Arabidopsis thaliana: one gene and its partner. The protein of the gene in region 1 interacts with the protein of each later gene in a pairwise test. Each region holds a gene or a part of one and is shown on either strand. Other genes may lie near its edges. The genes, in order: AT2G44710 and AtRZ-1b.

Region 1 (8,660 bases):
CAAATCAGGTTGAAGATAATGAACCACTCTGTTATGTCTTGAATGTTAGGAATCTAACATCAATGTGTAAGTGATGTTATGTAGTATATAAGATGAATTTCTTGATATTGCAGATCTAAGAGACAACATGCAGTTCCCAAAGAATTATCCAGGTGCTTGCACAATCTTCCCAGAACAGGTATGTTTTTTTAAAGATTCTTCTTCAATGTATATGATCAAGAACCATGTTAAGAATCAAACTCTTTTATAACTCAAAGATTGCTTCTTTTATAGGGTCAAGAACTAAGAAAGGAAATAGGAGCATTAGCATACATAGAGTGCAGCTCAAAAGCACAAATGGTAAAGTAACCATTAATGCTTGAGTTACATTTTACAATTAGACCAAATATTTTGGACCTCAATCTGATAAAGAAAGACTTATGATGATGCTAAATTTGCAGAACGTAAAAGCCGTGTTTGATGAAGCGATCAAAGTAGTTTTACATCCTCCTTCAAAGACTAAGAAGCGAAAGAGAAAGATCGGTTTATGCCATGTTCTTTGACTAGTGTACTCAAGTCTCTGGCTTTGGTTTGTTTTACATCTTTTTTAGTGTGTTTCTTCTATGAAGGACTCTTGCAGATTTTAGTATGATTAGCTATCTTCGTTATAAAAGTTTGATCTTGTAGTAGAGATTCTTGTAACAGAATTATAAGCGAATTCTCGTCTATCAGTCTATGTAAAAGAACAATGTTTGTCTTCTTTGAGTTCAAGAGACAACAACAAAGAACCGTTTTAGCGCAAAAAGAAACAAAATAAACCGATTGAAACAGAATCGAAGAATAAATAAACCGGGTTTTGTTTTTTGGCTAATAACCGAAACCGAAATAGAATAAATCAATAAAATCTCAATTCTCTAGTCTTCTCCTTTAAACTAGAGTCGATGTCTAGCTCCAACGAACCACCGCGAAAAACCGACCAACCATCGTCGTCATCGGCATCGGCATCGGCATCGCCGTCATTGTTTTTGTCACTGCCACTGGAAATCATTTCGATGATCTTAGCCCGCGTCCCAAAACGATATTACCCAATCCTCTGCTCCGTCTCCAAGAACATGCGGAGTCTTGTTCGCTCGCCTGAAATTCACAAGGCTCGATCTTTACTCGGAAAAGATTATCTCTATATCGGCTTCATCGACGAAAATTATCGCCCCGTATACGACTACTGGTACACTCTCCGGAGAATCGAGAACAGTACGACCGAGAATCTCTTCGAATCCATTGAGTTCCCTTATCCTTCCGAGCCTAATCGATTTTCCATGAACGCCGTTGGTCCAAAGATCTTCTTCATTTCAGAATCTTGTACTCCTTCATCAAGACTTTCGATCTTTGACACCCGATTTGGGGAGTTGCGTCAAGGACCTTGTTTGCTAGTGAAGCGAGGGTACAATTGCGTAGGACTAGTCGGCGGTAAGGTCTATGTGATCGGAGGCTATCAGGACGACGAGATTGCAGCGGAAAGCTTTGATCTAAATACGCAAACTTGGGAAGCAGCGCCGATTCCCGATGAAAAAGAAAGTCACAGGTGGATTTGTAAAGCAAATGTTTCATTTGACAGGAAGGTTTGTGCTTTAAGATCTCGTGAAGGCATGACTTGTTATGACACTAGAGATGGTTCTTGTCAGAGATCTGAGATGCCTAATGATCAATGGTCTAGAGTAGGATTGTGCGTGATTGACAATGTGCTCTTTGTTTACTTCTCTAGATTCGGGTTAATGTGGTATGACTCTAAACTGATGCTGTGGAGAGTGGTTTATGGTTTTGATCTTGACAACGCTCGATCAGTTGGAATCGGGGAATACTACGGAAAGTTGGCGTTTATATGGGAAAAACCAAGTCTTAATGTTAGTGAAAGCAAAGAGATTTGGTGTAGAATGATTGGTTTGCTTAGGAGTGAAGTAGGAATTCATGGAGCTGCAGAACCGTCTCAACTTGTCGAGATTGTCCCTAACGGTTATAGAATGTGTCATTGTCTGTCTCTTTCAGGTTAAAACATGTCTAGTACTACTTTCTTTGGTGTAAAATGATTGTTTTGGATAGGAGTGAAGTAGGAATTCATGTGACTAAAGATGATGATGTTTAATACTTTCGTTAGTCTATATCAATACAATGTGTTACAAGATTATGAATGTGTTGCGGCGTTTACGTCTTCAACTCTCGATTTATTCAATTAATGTTGCAGTTTCAGCATCTTCCTCTGTTCCACCTAATCAAGTTTGTGTTATTGTAAACTCACTCAGTTAAGTGTATTTTACATCGGAGTTGTTGTGTTGTGTTTCTCTTGCCCATTAAACCGATTCCATCGAAAACTGTATTCTTAAACCGAATAATGCAAATATAAATTATAAACCAAGACGAAACCAAAAAAAGATAACCGAAAATGAATGAAAACCGGACTGAACATCGGTAATACAATTAGTCAACCAACACACTTGAAACTCCATACGAGTAAAGGCCCATTGGGGATGAGGATATTTGGGCCAATCCTTCTTACCGTTTTTCGTTTGTTAACAATTACCGAATTAAAAGCTTGATCGCCACGTCTTTTTCTTAATAGAATATATTGATTTTATTTATCTTTTATTTTTAGACCAAGCTCAGGCTATCATCTCTCCGTTAATTAGGGTTTTCTTCTCTATCTCGATTTCAATACCATTGTTGATCCGCTGAGCTAGGGTTGTTCGATCCCGATAATTGTGTCGCTTAGCTCTGATCTCTGTTCATCGAATTTGGTTAATTTGTTTTGATTGGTTAAGATACATTGGAAAGCGATGCCACCGAAGGTTGTGAAGAGGGGAGGCGCCGCGAGAAGAGGTGGGAGGCTTACGAGATCGGCGCTCAAGGCGCAGAATCCTCACGTGGAATCTTCCCATGACGAATCTGTTAATATCGGTGAGCTCTCAGGCTCCGATGCACTGGAAGCCAAGGAGGTGACTCCGGAGGTTGATAAAACTGTTGAGGAAGAGAATCCATTAGATGTGCCGAAGTCATCGGATTCAATTGATGATTCTGAAGCTGCAGCGAATCCGCATGTTGATGTTCCGTCGAAAAGTAAGATTCTTTTAGCCTGGTTATTAATTTTGTTTCGTTTTTGGGATTCTCTACGTTTTCGTTGTTTTGATGGATCTAAGTTTCGCTTTGACGAAAGTTTGTGACTTAGAGTTCCAACATATCTGACCATAGAGATTAAATGAATGTCTGACCATTGAATGTATGAATCTAATTTGGAGGATGGATGTTTAGCTGTTTTTAATTCTGTGGAAGATAGACGTATCTTCTGAGATTGTTATCTCTGAACAAACTTTAGGCTACCTGGAATAGTGTAGATGTTTTACTCGCTTTTACTCGCAGAGGAGACTGAGGTAGAGGAATCTGTGGATGATTTTGGAAAAGATGAAAGATTGGATTTAGATGACAATGAACCTGAGTATGAGGCTGAGGAATATGGCGGGGAGGAGTTTGAAGAGAGGGAATTGGGACAGGAGGACCATGAGTTGGTAAATGAGGAGGGGGAAGAACTGGAGGAAGAGATTGAGGTCGAGGAGGAAGCTGGTGAGTTTGCAGACGAGATTGGAGATGGTGCGGAGGACCTTGATAGTGAGGATGATGATGATGATCATGCTATTGAAGAGGTCAAGCATGGAGAAACTGTTGATGTGGAAGAAGAAGAGCATCATGATGTTCTCCATGAGAGGCGTAAGCGTAAGGAGTTCGAAATATTTGTTGGGAGTTTGGACAAAGGTGCTTCGGAGGAGGACTTAAAGAAAGTGTTTGGTCATGTGGGCGAGGTGACTGAAGTTAGGATTTTGAAGAATCCTCAGACAAAGAAGAGCAAGGGTTCTGCTTTCTTGCGTTTTGCAACTGTGGAACAGGCAAAACGAGCTGTTAAAGAGCTTAAAAGCCCAATGGTAATTGTCTACACTTTAGTATTTGATGGAGAGTTTGTGTAGCTTTACATTTTGTATCATGCTCTTGGTCATTGGGACTGCAGATAAATGGTAAAAAGTGTGGTGTAACTGCAAGCCAAGATAATGATACCCTCTTCGTTGGTAACATATGCAAGATATGGACCCCAGAAGCTGTAAGTATTTGGGTGTCCGTAGATATGTCAATTAAACCCAACTCCACAGTTCGTGGTGATCCTGACAATCAGGTATTTGTTGTTGTTCCAGTTGAGGGAGAAGCTTAAACACTATGGAGTTGAGAATATGGATGATATAACGTTGGTAGAGGACAGCAACAATGTCAACATGAATCGAGGGTATGCCTTTTTGGAATTCTCATCTCGCTCAGATGCCATGGATGCTCACAAGCGTCTCGTCAAGAAAGATGTGATGTTTGGAGTTGAGAAGCCTGCAAAGGTCTCTTTTACTGATTCTTTCTTAGACCTGGAAGATGAGATAATGGCGCAGGTACTCACATTGCAGGATCAATTATTTCTAGCAACTTTCATCCTACCATGTCTTCTTTAGAGCGTTGGAGGAGTTTATAGGGGCATGTGTGGGTGCCACCTATTCTGTATGGTGACTTAGAATACTTGCTAAACCCATCATGAAAACAGAGTCAGAATACATATTCCTTTTGGCCCTCTAACAACATGCTAGATACTGAATTATTGATTGTTGGTGAATCTATTATATCTAACTTATCTATCTTGCTCATAGTAATTAGTTTTATGATATTTCTGGTGTTACAGGTTAAGACAATCTTCATTGACGGTCTGTTACCTTCATGGAATGAAGAACGTGTTAGAGACCTTCTGAAACCATATGGTAAACTTGAAAAAGTTGAGCTTGCTCGCAATATGCCATCAGCAAGGAGGAAAGATTTTGGCTTTGTAACTTTTGATACTCATGAAGCTGCTGTGAGTTGTGCCAAATTCATCAACAACTCAGAGCTAGGCGAAGGGGAGGACAAGGTATGCATAATTTAAATGCATTATCCTTATCCACGAAGTATTTTCTTGCTTTCTAATTCTCTTTTTTTTTCCAGGCAAAAGTGAGAGCACGCCTGTCTAGACCACTTCAGAAAGCAGGTAAAGGCCGACAATCTAGTCGCTCAGACCAGCGGTCTAGGCATGGGGCTGGACGGTCTGGAAGGAGTTCATTTGCTCGTCTTCCACCTCGTAGCCTTGCTTCCTCTCGGAGTGCTAGAGGCGCTGGATCTCGGGCCCCATCTTCTAGTGCAAAGAGAGCTTCTGGATCAAGAGGAAGACGTCCTCGCCCACCTCTACCTCCGCCTGCAAGAGCTAGGCCCTTGCCTCCACCTGCAAGAGCCAGGCCCATGCCACCACCTGCAAGAGCCAGGCCCTTGCCACCACCTGCTAGGTCATATGATAGAAGACCTCCAGGTACCACTGGAATTATTACATGTTTAGTTATCTTTTTTAGTTGAATCTCTTTTGTGTTCATGTATCTAATGATTCTGATCATATCTTCCATATTGTGTTTTGCAGTTCCTCTGTATCCAAAGGCTAGCTTGAAGAGAGACTATGATCGGCGTGATGAACTTCCTCCTCCAAGAAGCAGACCAGCTGTAAGCTATAGTTCCAGGCTTTCTCCTGAGAGGCATCTGTCTTACAGAGATGATTATCCACCCCGGGGTTCGGGTTATTCAGATCTTCCTAGAAGTTCTTCTCGCTCTGAAATTAGGAGGCCATTCGTAGATGACCTTTACAGTCCGAGATTTGAAAGACCTCCAAGTTACAGTGAGGGAAGACCTCGTGCTTATGAACCTCTTCCTGGATCAAAGCGTCCATATGCTGCACTGGTCTGACTTATTGTTTTCTCCGACCAGTTTGTCTTCTTAATTTTGTTTCTTTAGACTATGATTGTTTACTCTAACGAGTGTTCATTATTCAGGATGACCTTCCTCCCCGTTATGCTGATGTTGATGTTCGTCATTCAAGACCCCGTCTGGACTATGATGTTGGCCCATCTCAATATGGGGAATCCTACGGGGACCGGTATGTTCTCTTTTTATGGATAGCTTCAGTTATTTTTGGTAGCAATTTTCTGTGCCAAGTGTATTATTTTCTTACTTCCATGTTTGGTCTAGGATTCCTAGGTCTAGTCTAGGATATGGAAGCAGCCGAAATTCTATGTCAAATCATGACTCGCGGGGCCCATACAGCAGTCGTCAGGGAATGGATTATGGAGGAGGTTTGATTCAGAACTTGGCTTAACAGAGAGCAATACTTCGTCGAGATACACTTACTGCCTTCAATGGCTATAATTTCATAATGTTGCTTTCTTCAGGTTCTTATAGTGGCAGCGATGTAGGAGGTATGTACTCGTCAAGCTATGGTGGCGACTTACCCAGAAGAGATGTAAGTGGCTTCACACTTTCCCCTTTTTTATATTTATTTTGGAAAGTCAAGTTGTGTAACATTTTAGTATTGGATTTACAGGGAGGAGGTAGCTCGTATTCTTCAATTTACTCCAGCCGTGGCTTGGGTGGTAGTAGTTACTCTGGTGGTGGTCCAGGATCATACTACTGAATGTGAGTGTGTTTGGTTCCTTCCATCTTTAGTTGTGTCTTTGTGCATTATTTTTTGGTTTTGTTTGTGGGATATATTGTTGGTTGGAAAGAAAACGGTATCTCCTCTTTCAAGCTCTAAGCAGGAACTATAGATCAAATGTGTGCTTAAGTTTGTTAATGGAACACAGAATTTCACATGACCGAGGCTGCTAAAAAAGGAGGTTTGGCCATGCAAAGTTGTGTATGTAGAAAGGAAGCTACCAGCTGCGAAAGGATTAAAGCCAGCTTCGGTGAGACTGTTGGAATATTAATGGGCTTGCATCTACAACTGCACTTGTATCTTTTTTCGGATGGAATGATAAGCTCGAGTTTTATAGAGATGGTTCATAGTTGTGGGACTCGTTATCTATCTTATCTATCTCTATCTCTTGAATAATGGATGGATTTGTTGGAACAGAGATTAAGCTGTGTTTGTATTATTGATCCATCAGTTTAGTTAAGCTTTCACCGTCTTCTCAGCTTAAGATTTGCATTACTTCTGTTTAGATCTGATGCTTGCTCTGTTTTACTCTCACTGTGGTAAAACAGAGACATTATCCTTGAGACTTGTGGAAGAGACATTAACAACCTCTCACTGTCGGAAACTGAGGAACTCCCAATTTTTATACACTTTATAACATACATAATCAAGCAGGGATACATTACTGGTGTTAGACAGATGCATAAGCTAATAAAAGCTCTTTCGATTTCTACAATCTAGAAAATTTGAAAATCACACATTAATTTAATTTATGGCGCCTTTTGATCAGGAGTCAGCTAAAGACGACGACATTCTTCTATCTAGCTTTCTTCTTCTTGTCTTGCTCCTCCGTAGTAGTATAATCTGATAAGCTTTTAGCAAACGCTTCCACAATTCGTTGTTGAGATTCCAAAATCATCTTTGTCCTCTTCATCTCTGTATCCATCCTCATCGCTTCTATCTCTCTCGTCATCTCCATTCTCGTCTGCTCTGTTCTCACCAACGTATCTCCAAGCAGCTTTATCGCACTAGCTATCTCCACCATTGGATCATTATCATCCTCCTCCGTCTTCATCATCATCTCTCTCCCTCGTTTCCCTCCTCCTTCAGGAATTCTCACAACTCTAGCACCGTAACTAGATCCTCCTGCTCCGATACCACGACCAGCTCTCGGATTTGAACTCACACCAGCACTTGGACTCGCCGTGTATTTCTGATCAATCTTACCGGGAAACCTCGGTCCAGGCTGTGCTATACTCACTCCAGTCGGTATCCGAATTCGAATCCCGCCGCTACTACTACTCCCTCCACCACCACCAGATCCAGCTGTACCATTCCTGTTAAAGAACCTCGGCGTCGTCCTCGCTCCTCCTCCTCCGCCGCTGAATTGATACCTAGCTGTGTAATTACCATCATCGTGATCATCATCATCTCCACTTTCGTTACCTTGTTTAATCTCTGGTCTATTCTCCATAGCTTCCATTCGCTTAAAATGAACCCAAGACGATATAAACCTCGCCACCGGCACAGATCTAGCTCTCTGTATCTCGGTCCGGTACCTTTTCCGGAGCTTCTCCATCTTGTGACGGCACTGAACCGCGGTTTTCTTAAGAATCACGTCGGGGCAGTTAGCACCAACCGCTTCTGCAACTTCTTCCCAGTGATTCGCCTTTAGATTTCCACGGTTAAGAGCGTACCATTTGTCTCTGTACGCGTCAATTAGCGCGATCGTCTCTTCCAGAGACCAGCACGGCGGAGGTAACCGCCTAGAGTTCTTGGACGCGGTGGGGATGGAGGCGCTCTTCAGATCTGTGTTGGAAGCTGGTTCGGTTGACGCATCGTCATGAGCGGAGGAAGATAATGGTGGCGGGAGGGGAGCTAAAGGTGATGGATCCGGAATTGGATCGTGGTTCATCGGAGAATCCGGATCGGACATGGATCAAAAAATTGAAGAAGAAGGAAAGAAAAAGACAGATCTTGTGAAGGAAGAGAAATGGCTGTAATGCGATGGCTTTTCGCGGCGGCGATTGCACGTAATATCGAGAAGATAAGGGAGAGAGAGAGTGGAGGAGAGGCGTATGATAATGGTGGGTGGCGGAGGATAAGGTTAGATAGAAGCGTAGAT
Region 2 (6,704 bases), on another chromosome or scaffold:
GCAAACACCAAGAAGAACATACAAGAAGAAGAAGAGATCATAATGGAATTCAAGAGATTTTTTACCAAGTCATGATAGAATCAGCAGTTGTAAGTGGCATCGATGAAGAAGCTCGATCACGGACATGACAGCGAAGATGTCACGTGAAGCCAATGCTTCTTGATACTTTAAGAGCAGTAGGAGAAGTTAATCAAATCTCACTTGTCTCACTTGTTTCCTTTTTCAATGCATTCATAAAAATATTATTTCGTGTGTACACTTCCACTGTTTTACACAGATATGTAGATCAATAATTGTTTATGGTGGAGACCAAGATTAAAAGAAGAGAAGAAAATATTAAAGTTTTTGTCTTTTTCACTCAAGTCTTTGAACTTTCTCAAGACAAGTGCTGAGTGCTGACTTGGGAAGAGAAAACGACAGAAATTGGAGGGAAATGCCAGAGATCATTGATGGTATTGGAGGAACATAGTTTCAAGTAAACATATTTTTAATTCAACTAATCTGTTATTCGATTTTCTGCTTCAAGCAATTATTTCCCAATCTCTCTCGTTGAGTAAGAGGGGGATGGTTCGAAATGAAAAAAGGATACAACTTGTAAAAAAGAATTGTATAACTCAATTATCAAAATCATATCAGTTATAACAAGCACCGTATTTGGTAGACAAAACTTGAAGTTTAAAAAGCACATAATTAACTCACTCTCAACCTATGTTTCTTCATCTATTCATCGACATCCAAGTAAAAAAAGATGAATCTTTCTGGCTAACCATATTGGGCAATACAGCAGTTTCAATCCTTAGTTTGACGCCTTTTCTTTCTAGATTTTTGTGATGCATCTTCGTTTTCTCCTTCCTTAGTCGATGGAATCTGGATATTGGTAAGAAAGAATGAATCGATTAGGGGTTTTGACAGACCAACAATGGTTACAAGGATACAATTATGAGCAGGCTATTTACCTTTTCCTGTTTTTCTGATCTCTTAAGCTGTCTTCGTGAGCTACTGTTTCCTTTTATCTGCTTCTCCTAAAATTAAGATTTTTGAAACAATTTGTTAGGTCTCAGCGGAAGAATAACAAAGCACTTGTTTGCATTTGCTAGAATTCAAAAAGAAAACCTGTGATGGTGTCTCTGGATTGTCAACTTCTTCGTTTTCTCCATGTTTGGTTAATGAACCCTGGATGTTCATATTAAAAAGACGAATCAATAAGGTTTCAGACAAACCATCCATCGTCACAAGGTTACAGTAATGAGCAGGCTACTTTTACCTTTCCCTGTTTTTCTAATCTCTTACGCTGTCTTCGTGCTCTACTGTTTTCTTTTATCTGCTTCCCCTACATTTAGTAGTTTTGCAAGAATTTGGTTGAGTAAATGACTCATGGGAAGAACACAAAGCACTTGTTGACATTTGCTCGAACGTCAAAAAGAAAAACCTGAGATGGCGTCCCTGAATTGTCAACCTCTTCGTTTTCTCCATGTTTGGTCGATGAATCCTGGATGTTCATATTAAGAAACGAATAGATAAGGTTTTTGACAGGTCAACCATGGTCACAGGGTTATAGAGCAGGCAAATTTTACCTTTTCCTGTTTTTGTGATCTCCTAAGCTCTCTCCGAGCTCTTCTGTTTCCTTTTATCTGCTTCTCCTACATTTAGGATATTTGCAAGACTTTGGTTAGGACTCATTGGACTAACACAAGCATTTGATGGCATTGTCTTAAATCTCACCTGAGATGGCGTCTCTGGATCTTCAACTTCTTCGTTTTCTCCATTTTTGGTCAATGAATCCTAGACGTTTATATTGAAAACACGAATCAATTAGGTTTCCAACAAACCAACCATGGTCACAATGCTTCAGTATTGAGCAAGCTACATTTACCTTTTCCTGTTTTTGAGATCTCTTTCCCTGTCTTTGTGATCTTCTGTTTCCTTTTTTCTCCTTCTCCTACATTTAAGATTTGTGCAAGAATTTGGTTAGGACTCATTGACAAAACAAAAAGCACTCGTTGGCAAATTCTCTAATGTAACCTGAGATGCTGTCTCTAGATCGTCAACTTCTTCGTCATCAGTTCTAATCTTTCCTTCTTTCACTAATTTCTCCATACGAGCATGCTTCTGAAATGAGTCAAACGACAAAAAATACTATCTCATCAACTACAAGACTGATGAGGAAAAGCTCAAAACTAATCCCGTGCTTATCATCTACTACTTGATTCCAAAAAGGACCAAACACTCAAATGCTAATTCAAAGCTACCTAATTTACCTTTGATGAAACATGTGCTTGCATTGTGTTCTCATTCAAGCAAACAACGGTTGGACAATATCTGCATTTATAAACCGATTTGGATTGTATCATACAACCGAGAATATAGTTCTCTTCCTCTTCTTCGGGTGGTTCTTCTAAAAAACGATTCATTGACATCTTCTCCAATGTCCCACCATAGTCATCAGCATCAGAGTTATCATCACCATCATCAACATCAGCGTCTTCGCCAGCAGCTATAACAGAGAATAAGCAAAGATTTTACCAAAGGTTCTCTGAGAGTACAATCACAAGAGAACTAAAAGAGATAATTGCTCAATTGAAGAAGCAAACCTGGGGATTCATCATCTCCTGAATCATCACCGTCCTCGGAAACTTCTGCAACAGAGTCTTCTTCTTCAGATTGTTCTGATTCTTCCGTCTCAGGATCAGAGTCAGAAGAGAAGCACGATGAATCGGATCCACTGTCTTTATCACCATGCTCAAGCTTGTAAAATCGTCTCTTTATCATTTTTACTTCGTGTTTACTCTACAGAGACAAAACCCAAATTTAGAATTCGAAATTCTCCAACAAATCAAAAGTAAAGGAGCAAACTTCGGATTAAAGTAAATAGAAAAGAGGAGACTTTCGTACCGTGAGTTCCGCAGAAGAGAGCTTGGAGACTGAAAAGGGGAAAGCTTTGCTAAAGAGAAGGGTTTTAGGGTTTTTAGGTTATTTTTGTAAATTAAGTAACTTTTATAAGGGTGTTTTAGTCATTGAGTGGACAACATTTTATCCCAATAAATATACTTATTGAGTTGAAGTTAATCCTCTGCAGTTATTTCATTGTCCATCACCAATCGCCAAAACCGCAGAAAGGTCTGACCTTTGGATTAGCGGTGAGTAATTAGGGTTTATCATATCGAAATTTCTAGGGTTTCTTTTTCTTACTTCGGATTTCAGCAAGTTTATTGACCCGAATCTTTGTTTCAATAGAATTTTTTTGAGTTGTTTAAGTAAGAGTTGGAGTTTCGCTTTGATTTTTCGAGTTTGATTTTGTGGGCTAACTATGTTTATGCGTTTTTGGTTTCAGTGAGAGTTTCACAATGAAAGATAGAGAAAACGATGGAAATCTTGAGAGCAGAATCTTCGTGGGAGGGTTATCGTGGGATGTCACAGAGAGACAGCTTGAGAGTACCTTTGACCGCTACGGGAAAATCACTGAGTGTCAGGTCTTGTATCGATTCTCGTACTTTATGATCAGAAGTCTCAGAGACTCGTTTTGAAACCTGTGTTTAGTGAATGATACCTCTGAGATTGTAGGATAGTTTTGTTTGATGAACCTAAGACTCATCTATTCTGTAGAAGAGCACACACAGATATTGAGGTTTATTGACTTGTTGAAGGATGCAGTCGAGGAATTAGTAGAGCTTTCTTAGGAAGTAAACATGCATCTCAACCTCCTCTTGATCTGAAAATCTGTTTGAGAGCCGTATGTTTAGAAATGCAAGAGTTTTGAGATAGATCATGGCTCTTGTCTCAGCATCAGTGCAGTAATTTTGGTTTGACGTCACTGTGTTTTGTTGGATATTATGATTAAATTGCAGCTGAGCTCTCTTTTCAGTGGTTTTGACACCAATCAGGACTAACCATCTTTTATTCTCTTGCCTGTGGTATCTGCTTTAGTAGTCACTGAGATGGTTTTCTTGTACTCATTCATCATGAGCCACTAGTTGTTGTAATTGTAAAAGTACAGTTATTGGCACATGTAAGCATCTCTAAGTAGTCTATCAATACACCAAGATGATAAGTTTCTGGTCAAAAATGGTCTTGATCAGAATATTAGTCTTCTTTTTTAGGTCTTGATCAGAATATTAGTCTTCTTTTTTAGTGGAATTAGCATGGAAAACGCATTCCTGTGGATTTGTTGTGGGAAACTGATTTGAGGTAACAGGTCTGTTGTAAGGGTTAAAAGTATGGTTGGCTAGAGGCTAATCTCCAACATCGTTTTGCTAGGATTATTGTTGTGGTGATACTTCTTGTGGATTAGTATTTCTACAAGTATGCAGCTGTAGTTTGACTTTGTGTTGTGTGATTCTAAGGACTTGAAATGAAGTAAATTTGTGAATCTTGCTACCGTCTTCTGTTTGCTTGTAAATGTTCTGAGTTTGCCACTTCTAGGACATGCTATATGAGAGATAGGAATGTAATACATCTGCTTATTTCTTAACTCTAATGTAACATCTGGTTCTTAGTAATATATCTTGTTCCTGGCTCAATATGCATTTTAATAACATTATTGGTCTTCTTTGCGTACTTGTAGATTATGGTGGGGAGAGATACTGGGCGTCCACGTGGTTTTGGGTTTATTACATTCACTGATCGCAGAGGAGCTGATGATGCAATTAAGCACATGCATGGAAGGGAGTTGGGCAATAAGGTCATCTCCGTGAACAAAGCTGAGCCCAAAGTTGGTGGAGAAGATGTAGACCAATTAAAGAAAGGTGGAGGCTATTCATCTCGAGGGAAGGGAACCGAGGATGAGTGCTTTAAATGCAGACGCCCTGGTCATTGGGCTCGAGATTGCCCATCAACTGGTGACGATCGAGAACGGTTCAGAGTTCCCCTTGCGATGCGCTCTCGTATTGGAGACATAGATGGACACCGAGATCGCTATGGAGATCGTGATCTGGAGAGGGAGCGGGAGCGGGAGCGTGAGTTTGACCGCTACATGGATGGACGCCGTGACCGAGATGGGGGACGATATAGCTACAGGGACCGCTTCGACAGTGGAGACAAGTATGAGCCTCGTGATCACTATCCATTTGAGAGGTTTGTAGCTCTTGTCCTCAGGTCTAAATAAATGTTCCAACATGTGTTCTTTTAGGAAAGTCATGACCTTTTGATGTATTAACAATGTAGATACGCACCACCAGGAGACCGTTTTGTGAGTGATAGGTATGGGATGCCTGAACATCATCTTGAGAATGAATATCGCGGGAGAGAGAGAAGCTATGACAGGGACAGATACGCAAGGGATACAAGTGACAGATATGGAGATATGGGACCGATACGCGATGAGGGAAGACCCTACAGAAGCAGACCAGGTCCTTATGACCGTCCTAGCCGTCCTGGAGGCAGACCTTCATCATATGAACGTTGGTAGTTTGTTTTGGTTAACCAGATGTCAATGCTTATGCTTTGGGATTTAGGTCTATATCAGAGATAGAACTCGAACTCGAGATCTCTGTTATGCTTTTTTGTCGAATATTATGATTCTTCATCGCAGTAAAAAAGTTATGTTCTTATGATCCTATTGATTCCCATAAAGCAATTCAATAGATTAAACTCAAAATTGATGGATTTAAAACACTTGAGACAGAGTTAAGCATAGAACACTTGAAACAGAGCATAGCTTCACCATGAAAATTAAGAGAAAGGAGGAAACTTTGGCAATACAATGGAAGAAGAAGTGTTACACTAGCAAGACAAAAAGGTAATGCAATCTCAAATCTTCAATGAGAAGAGAATTAAAAAAGCCATCTTTAAGCTTACTTAAGAAGAAATCTCAAATCTTCAATCAAATCTCAAATCTTTAAGCTTTTACTAATGAAGTTCCCCGATGTAGAAATCTTCAATCATGTCGAAAACACGAGTGGCGTGTTGAGGTCCGAAGAAGCCATCAGTAGAATCATCACCAGCATGATCAAGAATAGCGTCACCACCAGGATGTTCTTCAACATAAGAAGTAATATCATAGACTTTATCTTTGATTATGATCCAACAATCGTTCCTTTTGTTATGTACTGCGACTTCACTCTTGCTGTAACTTTTTGGTCTTACCACATCTTCTACAGGCTCACTGCTAGATCTCTTCTTCTCTTGATTGTCGTTTGTTCTTCTTCGCTTTCCTTGGATTAAGAACAATGCTGATACTAGAAAACCCAGAAGCAATCCGATCACAGCTATCATCTTTCTCTCCTTGGAAATAGCAAAACCGGAGTGAATGACAATTGGAGAGAGTGGTGGATTAGATCCAGCTTGCTGACGAGTGACGACCCAAATTATTGAATTTAGGGTTTAGAGGGGCATAAAAGTCAAAACACAACGTTTTCATTGTCCTCATCTTCGTTAGTGGTTGTCGAGGTTTCTAACCAAAAAGCATCTCCACGTCTATGCAAAAATGAAGTTGTAGTTATTTTGGTTATTACTCGAACCTGAGACCCATGCATCTAATTTTTTTTCTCCTTCTCCCCGGCGAATCCTACTATTATCGATTAACTAATTTGATGTCTCATTTTTGTCTATGCACAAATTCAACTTGATTATTTAGGTATATAAGTAAATAAAAGATTTATCATAAAATTACACATGTAAAAGTTTGAAACAAATTTAATTATTCATAACTCACATAAGACATGTAAAAAAAAACAAAAAAAACAAATGTCACTTAGTGAAATGGATAC

What was found.
Region 2: the proteins of AT2G44710 (region 1) and AtRZ-1b interact in a two-hybrid assay, tested with the Arabidopsis thaliana proteins (one large-scale study listed by BioGRID).

The regions. Positions count from the first base shown.
Region 1 is NC_003071.7:18,430,095-18,438,754, forward strand, and holds AT2G44710 (RNA-binding (RRM/RBD/RNP motifs) family protein), read left to right. Parts: upstream 1-2,591; 5' UTR 2,592-2,807; coding exon 2,808-3,087; intron 3,088-3,138; exon of another isoform or gene 3,139-3,362; coding exon of another isoform or gene 3,363-3,387; coding exon 3,388-3,944; intron 3,945-4,027; coding exon 4,028-4,117; intron 4,118-4,208; coding exon 4,209-4,448; intron 4,449-4,732; coding exon 4,733-4,954; intron 4,955-5,028; coding exon 5,029-5,386; intron 5,387-5,491; coding exon 5,492-5,805; intron 5,806-5,897; coding exon 5,898-6,001; intron 6,002-6,093; coding exon 6,094-6,197; intron 6,198-6,293; coding exon 6,294-6,364; intron 6,365-6,445; coding exon 6,446-6,535; 3' UTR 6,536-6,537; exon of another isoform or gene 6,538-6,704; 3' UTR 6,705-7,127; downstream 7,128-8,660. Other genes in the region: ARAC9 (RAC-like 9), read left to right, coding at 1-8, 114-178, 274-339, 441-542; AT2G44700 (Galactose oxidase/kelch repeat superfamily protein), read left to right, coding at 921-2,027; AT2G44730 (Alcohol dehydrogenase transcription factor Myb/SANT-like family protein), read right to left, coding at 7,353-8,471; AT2G44735 (uncharacterized protein), read left to right, coding at 8,529-8,622.
Region 2 is NC_003070.9:22,336,745-22,343,448, forward strand, and holds AtRZ-1b (RNA-binding (RRM/RBD/RNP motifs) family protein with retrovirus zinc finger-like domain-containing protein), read left to right. Parts: upstream 1-3,064; 5' UTR 3,065-3,137; intron 3,138-3,142; exon of another isoform or gene 3,143-3,254; intron 3,255-3,331; 5' UTR 3,332-3,344; coding exon 3,345-3,470; exon of another isoform or gene 3,471-4,429; coding exon of another isoform or gene 4,430-4,444; exon of another isoform or gene 4,445-4,475; intron 4,476-4,561; coding exon 4,562-5,070; intron 5,071-5,160; coding exon 5,161-5,404; 3' UTR 5,405-5,553; downstream 5,554-6,704. Other genes in the region: AT1G60630 (Leucine-rich repeat protein kinase family protein), read right to left, coding at 1-41; AT1G60640 (stress response protein), read right to left, coding at 790-867, 957-1,022, 1,114-1,173, 1,265-1,330, 1,430-1,489, 1,575-1,640, 1,723-1,782, 1,874-1,939 and 3 more; CB5LP (cytochrome B5-like protein), read right to left, coding at 5,845-6,210. UniProt on the Arabidopsis thaliana protein: Binds RNA and DNA sequences non-specifically. May be involved in tolerance to cold stress.